Linked DNA regions of Xenopus tropicalis. The protein of the gene in region 1 interacts with the protein of each later gene in a pairwise test. Links are inferred from orthologs where the notes say so. Each region holds a gene or a part of one and is shown in the gene's direction. Other genes may lie near its edges. The genes, in order: gabpb1 and tdrd7.

The links.
Region 2: the proteins of gabpb1 (region 1) and tdrd7 interact in binary tests that used the Homo sapiens proteins (3 or more experiments, as listed by UniProt). The two-hybrid records come from large-scale screens. The link is inferred for Xenopus tropicalis from reciprocal best matches to the Homo sapiens genes GABPB1 and TDRD7.

Annotation. Positions count from the first base shown.
Region 1 is NC_030679.2:104,970,833-104,980,631, forward strand, and holds the end of gabpb1 (GA-binding protein subunit beta-1), read left to right. Parts: intron 1-1,189; coding exon 1,190-1,378; intron 1,379-1,645; coding exon 1,646-1,761; intron 1,762-2,761; exon of another isoform or gene 2,762-2,864; intron 2,865-3,603; coding exon 3,604-3,660; intron 3,661-5,245; coding exon 5,246-5,398; 3' UTR 5,399-6,023; downstream 6,024-9,799.
Region 2 is NC_030677.2:107,343,953-107,353,751, forward strand, and holds part of tdrd7 (tudor domain-containing protein 7), read left to right. Parts: intron 1-1,130; coding exon 1,131-1,216; intron 1,217-5,008; coding exon 5,009-5,223; intron 5,224-5,965; coding exon 5,966-6,537; intron 6,538-8,204; coding exon 8,205-8,388; intron 8,389-9,799. UniProt on the Homo sapiens protein: Component of specific cytoplasmic RNA granules involved in post-transcriptional regulation of specific genes: probably acts by binding to specific mRNAs and regulating their translation.

The DNA of each region.
Region 1 (9,799 bases):
GGCACTGTGGCACCTAGCTGTAAAATGTCAAAATCAAAGCTTCACGTTTTTGCTTTGACTCTTACATTAGCATATGATTGTGCAGCACAATTTGTACATTATTTCAGTACCATGTGCTTTATCTATGAACTTGGCCACAAATTTCTTTTCTTACTCGGCTAGTGACGTCTGACTAGCAATTTTTTCTCCAGAGGAAGAAAGTGGATTCTGCAATTCAAAATAATGGTATCATTAATTATAGAGATGAAAGCTTGGATGATTGTCAAAATATGTCTGATCTAAAGTCTTGGTCGTGACGCAAAGACTTCTGCTTTACATTTACTGCGTAGATAGAAAGGCTTCCACTTTTATTCACAAAATCTTGAAAAAAAAAATATCAAAGAACAGATCTTATCAACCAGGTTGGAATAACTGGAATGGCTGAAAATTGCAGCTCAAATTGTCTGCTAGCTTTTTGGTATGTTTAATAAAGACTTTTTCATTTTGAAGTCACATTAAATGTACCGCAAGGTATAGCAGCTAATATCTGAAATCATGAATGAGCACACTGAATGTACAGTATATGAAAACTGTGTATGTTACATAGGTAGCATAGTTATACCTTTTTTTAATTTTTAATGTAATGTTTAACTAGCTGTTTTATTATATATTTGCCAATCTTACACATTTTCCTTGGCCTTGTATATTTTGGTTTCAGGTTCAGTTCCAGCCAAATCTGCATGTCTTTCCATATATGTTTCAAAAATATACAGGAAGGTTAATTGGCTCCTGATAAAATTGACCATAATGTGTGTAAAAGTGATACAGGCCATAGATTGGTAGGGACTGATGTGAATGATGTGTCATCTCTGTAAATACTGCAAAATATGTTGGTGCTACATAAATAAAGAGTAATGATAAATCAAATCTGGGATAGGATAGAAAGCCACATTGTTGCCATTTATCCATTTTTGTGAAAGGGCTTTAAAATATTCTAACACAGGTTACTTCCTAATGCAGGGGGTATTTTTTTCCACATCATGCTTTATTTTATGAACCGTGTCTGTATCGGAGCACTGAGAAGGATGAATGAACCAGAGGGCAGTGGATGGTTCTATCTGCAAAGCTATCCTGATATTGTTAGTCTTTAATGTTTTTTTTTTTGGACAATGCTGAAATATCTGGGGTTTTTTTTTTTTTTTGTTTACAGTAGTAGCCACAGAAGAAGTGGTGACTGCGGAGTCAGTAGATGGTGCAATCCAACAAGTTGTTAGCTCAGGAGGCCAGCAAGTCATTACAATAGTCACGGATGGCATTCATCTTGGCAGTCTCCAGTCTGCAATTCCAACCAGTGGCATTGGTCAGCCAATTATTGTAACAATGCCAGATGGCCAGCAAGGTAAGTCATTTATTTACTAAAAAAATGTACATTTCTATAAACTGACAGGATTTTTTGTGTAGTCTTTACAAAGGGATAATGTCCAGTATTTGGACTTTATGCAGTGGAACATTTTTATTCTAACTTTTATTATCTGCTGCTCTGGTTCATCTAGTTTTGTCAATTACTTTTAAAATTTTCCATCATACTTTAATATGTAATTCATTTTCTTACAACATTTTTAAAAGCACTTGCATATGGTAATGAATATATATGTATGTGTTTTAGTACTGACCGTACCGGCAACAGACATTGCTGAAGAAACTGTAATCAGTGAAGAGCCTCCTTCTAAAAGGCAGTGCATTGAGATCATTGAAAATCGTGTTGAATCTGCAGAAATTGAGGTAACTCATTTCTTAATCCAGTCTTCTTTTTAGCCTGTGGCAGTTTCTAAATGAGTGCTCCGCTTTTTAAGTTTGTGTACTAATGAAGAGACTGCAAATGAATATTAATCTCTGATGCGGTGTAGATCATTACTCCCCTTCTGAGAGCTGTACAGATTTATTTCAGAATGTCCTGAGTATTAATGTATACTAGATGAGGGCATTTTGTGAAATTTATCATACTAGGCTAGTATAAATGTAGCATTAACAGATGATTAAACTGTAATATTTGCTTGATCTGTGTAGGGGCAGGATATTCTATTTTACAAGGTTTTATATCCTAGTAATATTTTGAATTTTCAAACAAATGTCTATAAGGAATTTACAGCAAGGGACTAGGACAGTAAATATTGGAAAACAGAGTTTGCCATTGAATAGTAGATTGGGGACAAGTTTGTAAAACCTTTGTAACACCCATTTTCTCCCATCTTCTTTTAACCCCTAATTTCACACTGTTGTCTTCCCACAGTTCTCTTTATCTGCAAATTTATATACAAATAATTGTCTGAATTCTTTCTCCTCTCATGCTATACACATAAGGGAGTAAGGATTTGGATGGTGGTTATTTTCTGATCTGGAACAGTCCCCAAAAACAGAATGGTGATTAACAAAACAGTGTAACACATTCTGCTTAATTGACCCAGGTTTCGGCATTGATAAACATATCAATTAATTCATACTTTCCTGACTGTAAATAAATTGTTTTTGACAGTCAGGAATATTGAGCTAAATCTTAAAATAGATGGAATTGCAGGTAATCTTTCAAAATTCCCCAGTTTGATCTATTCTAGATCAGCTTATATGTCTATCATGTTTGCCCTGTATTAAGCTAATCAAAAAATACCGTTTTAAAGTTTATTGATCCTATTAACTTTTTTTTTTTTTTATAAAGCTCATTATTCCTCTTTATGGCATTGAAAGCTGATAATTTTTAATTTTAATGTTCCTCTTTATTGTGCAGTATGTGGAAGAGAGATACCTAATGAATATACATAATCAATGATTTGCATCATCTGATTTTTCCATTTACATGATGTGATATCAAGTGCCTTCAGCCATCCCAGGTGTGCAGTTCTTCTACATTATCAGCACTTTGGGTGTTCCCTATAATTTTTGCACCACCTCTTTTTATTGGGATGATCTGTCACACCTGTCTTTAGAATTAAATCTCATGTAAGCATTTTGCTGCCAAATAGCAGCTGGAACATAGTGCTTTGCTTAGAGCTGGAGAGTGCTCTAGAATTATAATGTCTACTGCCTTAAACTTAAACTAAACAGTGTCACAGGCTCCCATGGCAGTGGATTTTATACAGCCAACATGGACTGTATAGGTTTCCAATACTGGGATGTGTCAAATCCTAAATATATATTTGAAAAGGCTCATAGTTGCTTGAGTGGACATTTGTCTTAACACCCAGTGCCTTATTGTGGTGGGTTTATTGTGACATGCATCTTTTTTTTATTTTTAATTGCCTCTGGGATATCTGTACTGGTTTCGGTTTTATCTGCTTTTGCTTTATGGAAAATGTACAGTGTTTTTCCTCCAAAAACAAGGAATACACAGCATCACACAGTAGTGTATCCATGCAAAAACAGTTGTCATTCATGCAAAAAGACTTTTTTTGTACCATGTTTGGCAAAATTTTAAGATTAGCATTATGATAAATTCAAGGGTCTAATGCGCTGAACCTCAGAACCATGTAGGACGGCTGCGGTGAGGAGCAATGAGAACATTTATAGATAATGTTGGGATTTTCTCTGTTTTTATGTGGGTTCAATTGTAACTCTTGTTTAATCTGCCAGATTCCAGAAACTTCTGGATCAGAAATCTATATTGTGAATACTCAAGAGTTCTCTCAGGTACAACTACAGAATTTTCAGAAAAAAAAATGTATTTTTATTTTATGTTTCTGAGAGAATCTCCAAAAACCTTTCAAATCTGTGTTTGTGATTATTTTTTTTTCCTCTTCCCATTTGGGTTTTAATCTTTTTTTTTTTCATGTTTCAAAAACACTGAGTTTGTGGCCGTTGTTTTCATGCATGAAGCCTTTTTTTTTTTTTTTTTTTTTTTTAAATTACGGTTTAGAATGTTTTATTTATTTTTATTCATTTCACTGTGTAAGAGACTTGAAGGTTAAATGAAGAAGCCATATGATCATTTTATATGTAGCAGAGATGCGGCAGCATTCAGAAGCCATGAGTGCACGGCATTCTATACTCGCGTCTTGTTGTAGACAACTGTAATTTCCACAAGTGTAGCAGGTCTGCACAATAGTCTTCTGAAATTGCAGCCTTTTGTATTTTCTAGTAGTGCTGTGCATGTTTGCCACACTTACTGGCCCTACATGCCAAGACTTGTTAGAGAACTTTGGCTGACTTTAGCATACTGCCCAACCATCTGGGTGTGTGGCAAATAAGAGAGCAGTTAGATCAATAATCCTGTGGTCTTGGTGGATAAAGGCTTATTGGCTCTGGCATAAACCTTTTGTCAGTTGCCCAAAAGAAAACTCCTTCTTCTACTTCCTGCCAGATTCCTGCTGTTATGATTGTGTAGACGATTGGACAGAACAATATGAAGGTGGTTTTACAAGCGTCCAAACCCATGGGTCAATCAGTCCAAATACCATATGGGTGAAGACACGGAGTGATTAGTCGCCATGACTCTTTTAAAAAGTCACACAGACTAATCAGCATGCTGCGAAGGACATTTGAGTAGTCACCCCGACTTGTATATTAATCTATGGCCGTTAAATTGGCGTGATTAGTTGCCGCTACCATATTTTTTAAAAGTCGCGGTGACTAATCGCCTTGTGTGTCTTCGCCTCATAGGTTGGCCCATGTATTGCCATCCTTTTAAAGAGATTCCAACTCTCCACAGTGGGAAATGTAGAAAATTCCACTTTTTCACTGCTGAGAAAAATTACTGCTGCTAAATAACATACCTGTTAGCATTAGCTTTATATGGATGCTTCTCCTTGTACTTTTTCCCTCAATTTTTTTCTAGTATCTTTTGAAATAAGTATTTTACCTTACTTTAATATTTATAGGTGTGGGCTTTTTAAACCCAGGGTTTGTGCTATTTCATGCTAAAGTGCAAAGATAAAATGGATTGCCTCAGTTGCTTGATAGTACTTTGTTAAGGGCAAGACCCAAGGTGTCCACCCTTACTGATACTGACTTTTATTATATATAAGTGTTTATAGGATATCTGGAGATACGGGCAGACTAAAATATGGAAGCTGGGTAGGCTCACTTCAAAGTTGCTAGCCATTTAGGTTGGCATATGGTGTGACCCTAAGCTCCGGGACCAGCACAGTTTTAAAGACCAGACAATCAAAGTCATACTGCATGCTTTTAAGTCTGTTTGACTATTTCCATATCATTTTACTCAGGGACTACATAGGGCAACTAATGCAGGATACCTATATTTTACTTTTGTGTACAGGAAAGAGAAACACTTCAGAAGCAACTTGATGAGGCCAACCGTGAAGCCCAGAAGTACCGGCAGCAGCTTCTAAAGAAGGAACAAGAGGCAGAAGCCTACAGACAGAAGCTAGAAGCTATGACCAGATTGCAGACTAACAAAGAAGTTGTTTAAGTAGCTAGCCAGCACGGACTCACTTGTTTTCATTGGAGAAGAAGACTCAAGCTATGCACTGTATGGCTTCAGTTGGTAATAGAAGCGATCCCCTGAGCAAACCTCAGACTTTTATATGTCCCTGAATTATACAAATGCTGGTGTTACAATAGTCACTCTTTGTGAGAAGTATTTAAAATGGAAATACTGTATATAGTCTGGATATTTCCCCCCCCCCCCCCTATTTTTTTCTTACAGTTGGCAGTTAAGTTGATGCTGATTTTCTGAAAGACGCAGAAATAACATTCTGGGTGACTTTTTTTCCAATCGGTTTTTAGTAGAGATTAATTTGACATGTGAAATGCACCAATTGCCAAAGATGTTTTGGTAAACCACGTGCGACCGTTTCTCAAACTGCAATGCTTTCTCCAATCAGATCAACAGCCTTTGAAGTTAACGTTTCCTAGTGGAAATCTCTGTACAGCTTTTCAATTTGTGTCTCTGTTTGAAAACTTTTTTTTTTTTAATTTCACTTTTTTTTTTTCAAGTAAGCAAAAAAATTTTTATATCTTGTTTAACTTCCAGAACATCCAGGTAGATTAACTTGTATATGAAGCTAATATTTTTTAAAGAAAAAGAGAGAGAACTTTTGTACATATGCTGCATGTTTTTGTATATTCTAACTGCATACGTCAGCCTTGGTTATCCTTCAGTGACACAGAACGTACACACACACATACACACATTGAATGTTGCCCAGTAGTGCAGTTTTTTTCTCATGTCACATCCTTCCAGTTTCAGAACTGATAAAGTGACAATATAATTTTACAAACTCCCGCTGAGTGTGTCTGTCAATCATGAACATTAACCTTTTGGTTACTCCTATATCCAGGCTTGGTAACCGCATGAAATAAGAGGTGGTGCATCTGTTCTGAGCATACATTTAAAATCAAACTTGACACCCAGATAATGGAAGTTTTGCATAATGAAGGAAGCTGTTGTACTAAGCAACTTCCCAATATAGATGAATTTAAGAGTTAGGAATTTAAAAGGGATTTGTGAATAAAATTGCTACTTAAAGCAGTGCATGTCCATTGCTATTCCCCACCCTGCTGCTTCTGACTACATGAAGGTCTAAAAAATGTAGCTAGAGTTATTTCTCCTCCAGCCAAGACTCTAGTTCTACAATTCCTTACATTCTGAATGGCCTATTCTTAGCAACTCTTTCCAGCTTTCAAATGGTGGCCACTGTCCCAGCAGCCAAAATCTATTACTCTATGAAGTTATACTTTTATTGTCATTGTTACTTTTTATTCCTTGTGTTTCAATTTAGGCCCTCCTCTGTTCATATTCCTGTCACTTTTTCAAACCGCTGCCTGGTTTCTAGGCTCAGTTGGACCCTGACAACAAGACAACTGCTGAAATCCCAAACTAGTGAGCTGCTGGGGGGAAAAAGTAAAATAATTAGTAAAAAAACAAACAAACCACAAATAAAAAATGAAGACCAATTGCAAATTGTCTCAGAATAGATCATACTAAAAGTTAATTTAAAGGTGAACTACCACTTTAACCGCAGAACACTGTGGAAATTGGAGTCTTGCTACATTGTTTTGGTAAAGCCTGTAGTCAGAACCAGCACTGCAGAGAATAGCAAGGGACAGAAGGATTCTGCTTTCTATAGCAATTGCATTTACTTCTGACTTAAAAACACTGTCAACTTTCAGTAAATGACCACTGGAAAGTTGCTTCAAGTGACTTAAGTTTTCATTAGGCAATATATAATTGTTTCCATTTATAATGCAGTTCCCTTCAAAGAGAGTGTATTTGCTCTGTATCGTAGGAAGACCTCACAAACGACAACAGTTCTGTTACTGGCACAGAGCTGAAACTATGCATTCAGAATTGTTACATTTCATTTAAACCCCATTATGCAACAAATTACTTTATCTCCCTTTTACTTTTCAGTTTTGTTTTTCTTTGATTTATGAAAATAATGTGATGAAGTAAAGAAAATATTACACTATTTGGATAAAATTGTGTTTTGCACTTGAGAGTTTAATGTTTAAAACACAAATTGGAGGTTAAAGATGGATTCTTCCTGTACAGAAGGGTAAAGAAGCCCATGCCTGAGAAACAGAGCCTACTCGCTCTTCAGCAGACTGTAAGCTGTGCTGGCATTTCAGTCGATTTAAACTCTCATGATATGACCAAATATTTATATAAAAATCTAAAATAAAGCGCGTCCTCAGGAACTCCAGAGATGTGCCACTGTTTTACTGAAAATCACAGTAAATGACTTGTTTTATATTGTACTGGAATAAGCTTTTATATTTTGTTAAAGCAGTTGTCTCTGTGTATAATGAGAAATACCTTGAGTAAAAGGGAGTTTACAGTCTTAAATCTATGTGCCTTTACCCTTTCTTATAAATTAAGGTATGTGCCTTTGTCTGTTCCATGCTTTCTTACTTTTCACTTTATTTTCTGGATCACATTTATAAACGAGTCACTGTATATAAAGGGAATTCAGGAAGTCTGCCATTGGCTTATAGCAGGATTCTCAAACCTGTGACTTACCGCCATCATAATTCACTGCAACTCCATACGACAGGTAGGAGACCTGTTAACCAGAGCGCTCAGGACCTGTGGTTTTCCTGATAAGGGATTTTTCTGTAATTTGGATCACCATACCTTAAGTCTACAAAAAATAATTTAAACATTAAATAAGCCCAATAGGATTGTTCTGCAACCAATAAGGATTAATTATATCTTAGTAGGGATCAAGTAAAAGTAACTGTTGTATTATTAGGGAGAAAAAGGAAATAATTTTGAGTCTAAAGGTCGCCACACACGTAGTCGCACGAAAGATCGCTCCCACTCTCCACATACATTCAGGGCTGAATCATCAGATATGGAGGTAGAAACAATAGGAATTCTACCTCCTTCTGCCGATTCAGCCCTGAAGGTAGATTTTGCTCAGGCGCCTTCAATGGTGCCCGATCAAAATCTTTTAACCTGCCTGATCGGCGAGTCAACCAATAGCCACAGCCTTTTGCGATGTCAGTCGCCTCGCCGAGTCAGCATACATGCACAGAATATCATATGAAACGAGGTTTCGTACGATGATATTGTATGGACAGCTTAAGAGATGCCCTTCGTATAAACTTTTTTGGATAATGGGTTTCTGGATAACGGGTCCCATACCTATATTTTTTTAGTGAGTTATTTGCCCACCACCTCCCTGGGCCCCATAAGTGGTGAACCCTGTTAACTAGAAAGAACAGCCCCAAAGGCCAAAAAAAAAAAAAAGGCTAACTAAAGTATCTGTCCTATCATGCCCAAATCTGCAATCTCTGCCTTGACTGGACTTTCCCCTGACAGTTTAATCTAGGGTGACCAGATCACTTCAGGGACACGTCAAGAAATCAAGGTAGAAGGGCTGCACTTATTGCAGTTAAATGTAAAAGCAATCCATGCCCCGAGTTCTGCAAAAGGCATTTATTGGACATGTCCCTTAATTCTCAAGTGATCTGGTCACCCTAGTTTAATCCTAGTACAGATATAGGATCTGTTTTCTGGAAACCTGTTCATCACCCTTAGACTCCAATATAAGCAAATAATTCTAATTTTTAAAAATGTTTTCCTTCTCTCTAATAATAAAACAGTACCTTGTACTTGATCCCAACTAAGATATAATTAATCCTTAGTGGCTAAACAAACCTACTGGGTTTAATTAATGCTTAAATGATTTTTTTAGTAGACTTAAGGCACAGAGGTCCAAATAACAGAAAGATCCATTATTTGGAAAGTCCCAGGTCCTGAGCATTCTGGATAATAGGTTCCCATTCCTGTACCTCAAGGACAGTAAGATGTGTTTTTCATGTGACAGTTGTAGGGTCACAACATATTTAGGAAGGTGCCTATGTTTACAGGAATTTTCCCAGTGATTTAATTTAGACAACAAAGTTGTCATGACAAAGTGAGAAGCAGATTACAGTTTTTCAATGGGTATAGGTATTCTGCACATATGCATATTACTCAGTAAAATGATTTATATCTGTCCAAAAATAAAATCGTTATCCACCCTGGCATTTGTGAGTATGCATACTTGGCTCTTAGCCATTAAAACTCATGATATAACTCTATTCCTTTGGCACATCACTGGACATTCCTGTAGTTAATATAATATAAATCACTCTTTGGCATTGGTGTGATGAATGGGTAGTGCATATTCATGGGATGCATCAGATGTTATAAGGTCACTTTTGCATTGACTTTATATAATCTCAATAGGATCATGTTATCTTAAATGATGAGTAAAATCACTGGGGTGCAACTGCATGTCTTTAGAATTTCCTTGTCCCTTAATCTCTTATTAGTCTGTTGGTCACTAGCTAGTGCATCTGTAAGATATAACAAGTGTTA
Region 2 (9,799 bases), on another chromosome or scaffold:
GACATCTAAAAATATTTTTTATATCTATTTTATGTTTTGCATAGGCATATCAAAATCTAATCTAGCAAATTAAAAGCAAATTTCAGCTTGATAAAGCATATGAAGTGTTGTTTTTTTATTATAAAGTTTTATATACAGGTATGGGATCTGTTATCCAGAATACAAAATCTAAAGTTAAAAAAAACAATGTGGTTGTTTTGTCATCAACATGAGATTAGTCTTTCTTGCTATAATAATGGTCTCATTACAGAGAACAACAGTTTTCATGTAAAACCAAGCATAAACTGTAGGTACACTAATCATAAATTAGTGTACAGTCAAATATCAGGGAAAGTGGTACTCTCTATTCATGTCAAGCATATTGCAAGACATTGGGAAGGGACAATGACTTTTATGGGTCGACACATGATGTCAAGAGATGGGGCTATGACGTGGTGATTGGTTGTCCGTCGTGTCATTCAGCACAGATTCCTGTCTGGATTTCCAGAGTAAAAAATCTTGACAGGCACTTTTAAAATCGGACTGGGCTGTCCCTATTAAGGCATGTTACAGTGTTGTACAAAAGTCATGTGCGTGGGGGCTAACATTTGAAAAAGAAAGTAAAATGTATTGATTGACCAAAGATGATCATGAATTAATAATTTATTTAAGCGGAAGTCAGGATTAAAAAAAAAACCCAAGATGGATTGTTCAGAATTCTGTCTTTGTTTTAGATGCTCTGAGTTTTATAGCAACCAGACTTCCTACGCAACCACAGAGTAGTAGTTGTGCTTCCCTGTGTTCATTTTAACTTGTAATACTGTATGCTTCCACATATTAGTGAACATCTAACTTTATCTATTAGTCTGCAATACAACAATACTAAAGTCTGATGTGTAATATAGTCTGTTACTGAATTACCTTCTAATGAAGCATCTCTAAAAATGTCATATCTCTTGTTTTAATCAGCTTTTTGATCTCTTCAAAATCTATTTTATGGAAGATGACAAAAATACATTTTAATTATCTGGTTGAGTTTCAAAATTTAGATTTTTCAGTGATTTTGATCTTGATATTTTTGTAAAATATTTAGAATCAAATATTTAATTGACTGTCTTGATAGGTTCATCTGTATCTCTTGTCTTTACTAGGCCTGAGAGAAAAGTAACACTTCCACCACGATTTCAGAGGGAGGTTAACTCATTCTTGAATCCCACTCCTATGACAGATTCAAATGGTATGTATACTGCAAATAATACATTTTTTTTGTTTGTTTGATCTTAAATGATGAACAAAGCTCACACTGTCATTTAGCACATTCACATGAATTTCAAAGCATTCATCTATTTTTTTATGGAATTATTTTTAAAGTATATGTAAACACTAAAAACTAATTCATTTTTTTTTTGTGTCCAAGACATCCGATATTTTAGACAATACAAAAATATACTCAATTTTCTAGCAACGCCACCTGATGTTCACATTGGCCAAATGTGTCTACAGATAGGAAAAATACATTAGCTCTGAAAAAAGATAGGTGTGTGATGTTGCTTTGCTTAAAGGGTTAGTTCACCTTTCAGCGAACTCTTGCTATGTTATAGAATTTAATATTTTTAGAAGCTTATCAAGTAGTCTTTATTTTTGTATAGTTTTTAAATTACTGTATATACTCGAGTATAAGCCGATCCGAATATAAGCCGAGGTACCTAATTTTACCTAAGAAAACTGGAAAAACGTATTGACTCGAGTATAAGCCTAGAGTGGGAAATCACAGAAAAAGAGGAAAGCACCTTCACGCAGATGAACTGCTTCAGCCTTTATTCAAACCACAGCACACACATGCATCGTGCCGTGTGAACAGTAAGGCTGAGCGTTTATATATTCAAATTTCCTAGGGTGGGAAATGCAGCCACATATATTTTGAAACTACAACCAGCACCCAAGAATGCAACCAATTTTATGTGATGCATGGATCCTGTTTACTAGATACAACACAAGCATCCATTGCAAAGAAACAAGGACACGTATATCTGTTTTAGTACAAGGGTAAGGACCTGGTTTGCAGCACAGCCTACCAAAGCTCATATCAAATGTAAAAAAACAGACAGGAAAAGCCAAGAAGGACAAGAGGGTGGCTGAAGGCCAAGAGTGAGGATGGTATCAGATTTCTTCTATAGAAGAACTTGGCTGGGCCTGGAACAGTATGGAGAACAGAAAAGCTGCCACCAAAGAGGACAGCTTATTCTACATAAATGACTGATTGGGTATCCGTCTCTGCACAGGTTACCCACGGACTACCAAAGCACCAAAAGAGCAACCAATAATTTGATTAAGGAAGAATGCCAATACTTCCATTTGCCAGGTCCTGGCATCCACCATGAAGCAATATGGATTCGAAGATGGAACGAGCTTGTTGTGCGCTGCCAGGCTCCCCTCCCTGCGGCTCCCTCCCCCCCAGCGACTTCCTCCAGTTCCCCTGCAGCTCCCTCCAGCTTCCCCCCCCCCTGTGGCTCCCCTCCCCCAGCAACTTCCTCCTGTTCCCCTGCGGCTCCCTCCAGCTCCCCCCTCCCGCGCCTTCCTCTTCTGCCTCTTTCCTGCAAAGAGAACCAAACAACTATTGATCTGTGAGTTTGCAGTTTTAATTTTGTTGTCACTATGTATTACTTATACTCCTATTCAGTCCCTCTTTTTTTCATGAACCATTTTTTCACTTAAACCAGTGCCTAGTTGAACTCTAACAACCATGTAGCCACTGACATTGCACACTGGAGAGCTCCTGAACAAAAAGCTAAATCAATTAAAAACCACAAAAAAATTAAAATGAAGACCAATTGCAAATTGTCTAAAAATGTCACTGCCTGCATCATGCTAAAAATTAATTTGAAGATGAAATACCCCTTTAATACTAGAGAAACATCTGATAACTCTTTATCAGAGCAGAAGCCCCTGATATGATGCATTGGGAGATAACATTTTAGTCTGAACAGACAGCCTGTAACACAGACCCAGAATCTGTAAACTACGGCAAATGCTGTAGACAGTTTTTACCATTGTACCTTGAAATGCCAGGGACTATTTCCCTGTAAGAGCATGTTTTATTTAAATCTCCATCCTTTCCTCCCTAACCAAGGTGGCCTATCCAATTCATTGCATGCATAGCCTCATTTAGTCAAGCATTATCAGTTGCAGATAGACAGTCTGATAATTTTGAAAAACATAAAGAATAAAGACCCATTGAAACATTGCTTAGATGGGTCCATCCTCTTCAAGATTTCTGATTTGGTTTGGCTATTTAAGTTTTTGGTTTGGTTTTAAGTATCTTGGGATTTGGTTCAGTCTGGAAACCCATCCTGCAACTAGTCCATCCCTTGTTTATATGTATACTTATTTGCATAACCTGCAACAAAAATATAAAGATCTCTAGAAAGTAGCTGTACCGATCTTTGTAAAACATTCTTAAAGGTAGAGCTTTTGTGGAAATAATATTTCATGTCAGGACAGTTAGTTTTAACTGGGAATGTTCCCTTTGCCTATAAGTTATATTAAAGTGAACTCCTTTTAGGGCAACGACACACAGAGCTACATAGTAGCAGCTACTTGTCATGGCTACTAAACCCCAGAAAATAACTTTCCATAGACAGTACTAAGAATTGCCTCTGCTAAAACACAGAGACAATTATCGGTAAAAAAAAAAAAATCAGCATTGTCAATTTTTGCAGCTGTGACATGTAGCTGCTACTAGTAGCTCTGTGTGTCTTCAACCTTAAAATAACTGACTCAAAGCTGCATTTAGAGAAAGATCCTTCAAAATAACTCCAAGCCAAATTCTGTAATACATATCCTAGGTAAAATGAGATAGCCCCCACTTATGTATTAGACCTATCTGCCCATTCAAATTTGAGTCCTGCAAGGATTGGTTGGAGACCATTTTTCATTAGTACAGAGCAACTGTGATTCAAGGGGTTGAAAAACAATGATGAAGCAAAAAGGAAACTGTACCTTTTAGAACAAGTACTTAACAGATAATTCATATTTTAATAAGAAAACTATTAAAGATTCTTACCAAACTGGAGTATATATATCGGTAAATTCTGCCATTTTACATCTTTTACTATGACCTATCATTTTGTCATGGTTCGTGTACTCCTTCAGAGATCATTTGACAGGAAATAATGCAGCTCTAACTGTAACAGGAAGAAATGTGCGAATAAAAAACAGCATCTTCATTAGTTAGCTGAGGTAACCCAGAATATATGCGTACCCTTTGTTTATGTGCGAGCACGGTGAATCTTATGAGCTAGGGGCGAGGCACGTAGTACTTAAAATGGCAGTTTTCTGTTTAGGATTAAAGGAAAAGTAACACTAAAATTTTTTAAGTAAAAAAGCTATTCTACCCTGCACCAATAACTGCCCTATTATTATTATTAACATGTATTTATAAAGCGCCAACATATTCCGCAGCGCCTGTCTATCATGCAAACCACTTAGTATTTTAAATGCTTTAATAGAAAATACCTGCTAAAACTTGGCTTCCTGTCAATTGAACTACGGCGATATGGCGAAGGAAGGAGCAGCAACCACTATGCGACGATCGATTGAGTGAGCCTAGCCTTCTTAATTGTATAGGAAGGAGTCAGGCTAGGCGCGATCAATTGATTGTCGCATAGTGGATGCAGCTCCTTCCTTTGCCTTATCGCCAAAGTTTTAGCAGGTATTTTCTATTAAAGCATTTGAAATACTAAGTGGTTTGCAGGATAGGGCAGTTATTGGTGCAGGGTAAAATAGCTTTTTTACTTAAAAAATGTTCTGTTACATTTCCTTTAACCAGCAGCGCATACTAAAATGTATATAATATATATATTTTATAGAGACCTGCAGTGTATCTTTATCAGTGTATCAGGGTATCTTTCCTTTAAGTTCAAAGTCTTCTAGATAATGGAACATATACCTGTGTTAGATGCTGGTCCTTTTTGTTTTTCTTTTTTTTTTTTTTTAATATTGTATTTTAATGTTGTTCCTTTTGTTTTAGCCAATCATACACAAAGTTTGAAAAGTGTTGTTCCTGGCAGTGGTCAACCTCGCTGTGACCTCTCTGTGATCCAAAATAACCTGAAAGAGCTTCTGAACAAGCACAGTAATGGTTTATGGCTGTCGAAGTTGCCTCAGTTGTACAAGGAGACCTACAAACAGGATTTGGGTGGTGAAATGTTGAAACAGGTTCCAAGTTGGACACACATATGCATGGTATAACTTTTGATTTTTTTCTTAGTTAATTCTGTTTTATTAAATTATTAGTAAAATTTTTAATGAGGTGCATTTTAAAGGGGACCTGTCACCTCAAAAAAAATTCCAAATTTATTTCTACCATGTTAATTAAGCAAAACAAACTTCACTTACACTATATAATGTTTATAAATCTTGTTTCCTTTAGTCTTGGAGTTAGACTATTATAACAAGCAGGCAGTTGAGAATTGCAGTGACATCTAGGTAGTGCTGAATGGAAACTTAAAGTTGCGCCTGAGGCATAGTGGCGGGGCAGGCAATATATCATGGACAGCTGGGATTTTTAAATGCCTTTATAATGTGTTTGTATGTGTTAATAAAAAAATTTGGTTTTCATGTTTAATTTGAAACAGACTTTATACAGCTTTTTATGCCTGGGTGACAGGTCCCCTTTAAGAAACTTTATGTAGGCAAAGTCCTGTATTTAGATTTCATAATCACTGTTGGGGCAATGACACATAGGGCACCATGTTGACTAAAAATGCAGAAGCACTAATTTTCAAGTGATAAAATGGGATTGCCATATGTAAAGTGTTTTGCATGTGTGGGTTCCAACACTGAAGGATTTAGGGCACTAGAAGAAGGCTGTTTCCTGTGGGTGATAAACTGTCCTGTGTGTGTAGTTAACATGCATGATTTTATCTAAATCCCTTTTTAAAAATAACCTTGATTAATGTTTTTCAAAAATATTTATTTATTTCAGGTTCAGAAACTCGTAACCATGGGCCATACAGAAATGGTTCTTTATTCAACTGCAATAAAGCAACCCTCCTTTACAAAGAATGTTCAAAATCACAGTAACAACCAAGCTAAGCCAAATGTGCCTGTTGATTCAACCCCGTCATCACCTCCTCTGCAAAGTTCAGGCAATATCCCCAAAGATGAACTTAAACAGAAAATTTCAAAAGTATTGACTAAGTATAGCAATGGACTTTGGTATCACGCTTTACCCAAAGTCTTTGAGGACATGTTTAAGCAGAAATTGCCAACTGAAGTTTTAAATTTGGATTCCCTTACTGATATTTGCACAGTTGACCTTATTTCTGAAGAGCCATTTAAAGCTATCCTTTATGCTAAATCAGCTGAAAGGGCAAACCAAAATAGTAATCCCTCGGTCAACAATAATATCCCACAAAAACTCCAAGATCGAGAGTCACCCTTGTTGCCGGAAGAACCAGAGATGAATATGACTCCACCCCCTTTGGTCATACCTTCTGAGGCTTCTCCCTCTGTGCTCGTTGTGGAACTAAGCAGTACTAATGATGTGGTTATAAGGTGAGTGAAGGCCTATTTTGTGATTTTAAGTGTATATCCCTACAGTCGGAGTCCTTGACCAAATCTGTTTATTTAAAAAAAAAAAAAAAAAAAAAATATATATATATATATATATATATATATATATATATATATATATATATATATATATAATATATATAAAAAAAAGACAGACACAGAACATTTGCCATGCTCTCCTCTGCTCACTCATTCACTGCTGAGCTGCCAACCTCTGTGCCTTCCAGGTCGCCATTTTAATTAATCACATTCAAGATGATAACTTACCCAAGGCCCCAGATAACCATTTCCACGTTGCTCCAAATTGGTTAAAAATGCATTAATTAAATTGAACTCTTCTAGATTTTTTTTTTTTACTAGGTCTTTAATTTTTATGTGTGCTATTCTCATTATCCAACATTATGTGCTAGTTGGAAATGAAGTCAAGCGGGAGGACCATGGGCAGGCAACTTCATCAATGTCACCCCAATTTGACTGAATTTCTGTATACACTGCCACTGACATCTTGTTTAGACTTTTATAATGCTACAGAAAGCAATGGGAACTGATAGGGATGGTTGTAGCTAGAAAATAATGGAAATTGAGGCAAAACTAATCCCAATCTTTTCACAGCATTCGTACCCACCATCTCTCTCTCTGTAGAGAACACTCTCTCAATCTCTTAAGAAAAAAAACAATGATCCTATTTGTTGGGAGCACTAACACATTTTATGGACAGTCAAGGGGACCTGTCACCCAGGAATCAAACGCTGGATAATAAAAGTCCTTTGCAAAGTAAACATTAAACTTTTTTTTTTTTTGTAATTAAAACATTCATACCGGTTATAAAGTTATTTAAAAATCTGAGCTGCCAATCATATATTGCCTGTCTGCCTCTAGGTATAGAAGTGGAACAGTCAATCACTTTCACTTTCCATTCAGTACCTAGATGTTGTTGCCCTCCTCACATTCCCTTTCCCTCCTCACGGTCTACAATAGTGTGGCATGGGCATTAGGTCCCCCATTAATTAAGCTCTTAACCAAGATTTTGAAGTAATACAAAACTTCCACAAAATAGTGCCTGTCTGCTGGCTGTCATTGTGAATTCCAAACTGAAGTAAACAAGATTTATAAAATGTATATAAAGTAAATAAAGTTCATGTTGTTTAACTAGCACGATAGAAAAGAATTTGGAATTATTTCTTTGGGTGACAGGTTCCATTTAAGGGCCAATGCCCAAACCTCTTATTTATGTTTGTTTGTTATCCAACTGCTTAGACTTAGACTGTTAACTCTAGGGGGCAGGGACCTCCATCTGTCTGTGTCTCTTACTACATGGCACTTAATTTTAGAAATAACATAAAATAATTAAAGACATGCTTCCTAATGATTCCATTTATAGCTTATTTTTTATTTTTCCATACAAGTTTAAAAAATTAAGCAATATATATATTTTAATTAATATGGTTGATTCTTAACAAGTCAAGCGATTTCTTTAGGGATGGTTTTAACTTCTTTAGGGATGGGTAATAGAGGCATTTCACAGTTATTCTCTCCTCATCTGTTTAAATCTATAATGAATTAAATTTAAGCTTATCGATAAAAAGATTCTTTCCATTAGAAACTGACATTTTCTTATTAACCTTTGTGTAACAATATTTATGTCTTAGGTATATTGGCCGTGACTATTCTGCTGCTCAGGAACACATGGAAGATGAAATGAAGGACTTCTGCAGCAAAAGTTCTACTGCAAAGATTGGCTTTTTAAGGGTTGGTCAGCTGGTGGCTGCAAAAGCAGAGGAAGATGTTTGGCTGCGAGCACAGATATCTGCAATTGAAGGCAAAAAAGTCAAGGTTTATAGTTTTTCTTTTATAAATATCCAATTCCTCTTTCATCATTTTATTTTATTTTTTTTTAAATGTATAGAATTACAATAGAGAATAGTGCTTGTGTGGAGTTTGCATTAAAGCCAGGACATTTTAAACTACAGTTTCATCCACACAAGTATGAAGATGTTTATGATACACTGGCAAGCAATTTCTTTTGTGAAATCCAGAAAATTCCGAATTATGGAAAGGCCATATTACATAAACTCCATTATAAGCAAATAATTTTGATTTTTAAAAATTTCCTTTTTCTCTGTAATAATACCAACTAAGATATAATTAATCCTTAATGGAGGCAAAACAAGCCTATTGAGTTTATTCAATATTGAAATGATTTTTAGTAGACTTAAAGAATAAGTAAACCTTCTTTTTTTTTTTTTTTTTCTATCGGTAAAATTACTCTAAACAGTCTCCAGAATTACCTACCTTTGTCCCAGCATTCTCTCTGACCTGATTCCTCAGTTAGAAGTTAATTGTTTTTCTTTGCTTCCTTGTGCAGAGTGAAGCCCCGCCCCCACTTCCTGTTCAGGTCTCTCATAAAAAAAAAACCCTGATAATGCACAGACTGGCTGCTGCTGCCTCCAGGCATGCCCAGAAGGCTCTCCAGGTCTACTAAAGGTAGTCGAATTGAAGAGAGAACTGAACAGGAAGTGGGGGCAGGGCTTCACTCTGCACAAGGAAGCAAAGAAAAATGATTAACTTCTAACTGAGGAACCAGGTCAGAGAGAATGCTGGGACAAAGGTAGGTAATTCTGGAGGCCATTTAGAGTAATTTTACTGATAAGAAAAAAAAAGGTTTACTTATTCTTAAAGTTATAGAGATCCAAATTGCAGAAAGATCCCTTATGCAGTAAATGACAGGTCCCGAGCATTCTGTATAACAAGTCCCATACCTGTAAATACGAAGTGATCTATCAAATATTGATTGCTAATCAGAGTCTTTATGTGCCTTAGCCCTTAGCTGATGAAAGTTCACATGTCCACATGTGGACAATACTAAATTTCCTGGTTTTGGTTTGGTTTTGAAAGTTGTAAAGAACTTCAGAGTTCTTTAGAATTGAATATAAAAATAGATTTCCTTGGAGAATATTAATGGAAAGGACAGTGCTTACTAATGGCACAGGCAAATTGTCGAAAGGTATACTTAAGTCTTAGTAGCCTTTTTTTTCCATTGATAGAAGTATTGATTCCCGAATTTAAGGACAATATATTCAGTAAACAATTTTGATATTGCCTGGATTTCTGCAATAAAGGAGATGTAAACACAAAAAAAAGTATACTGTAGCTAGAAAATCAGTGCGCTGCAGAAGATTGTTTATTTTATAAATGCTGTACTGATTTTATAACTGATTGCAAATATGCTTCTTTTTGAGCGCTC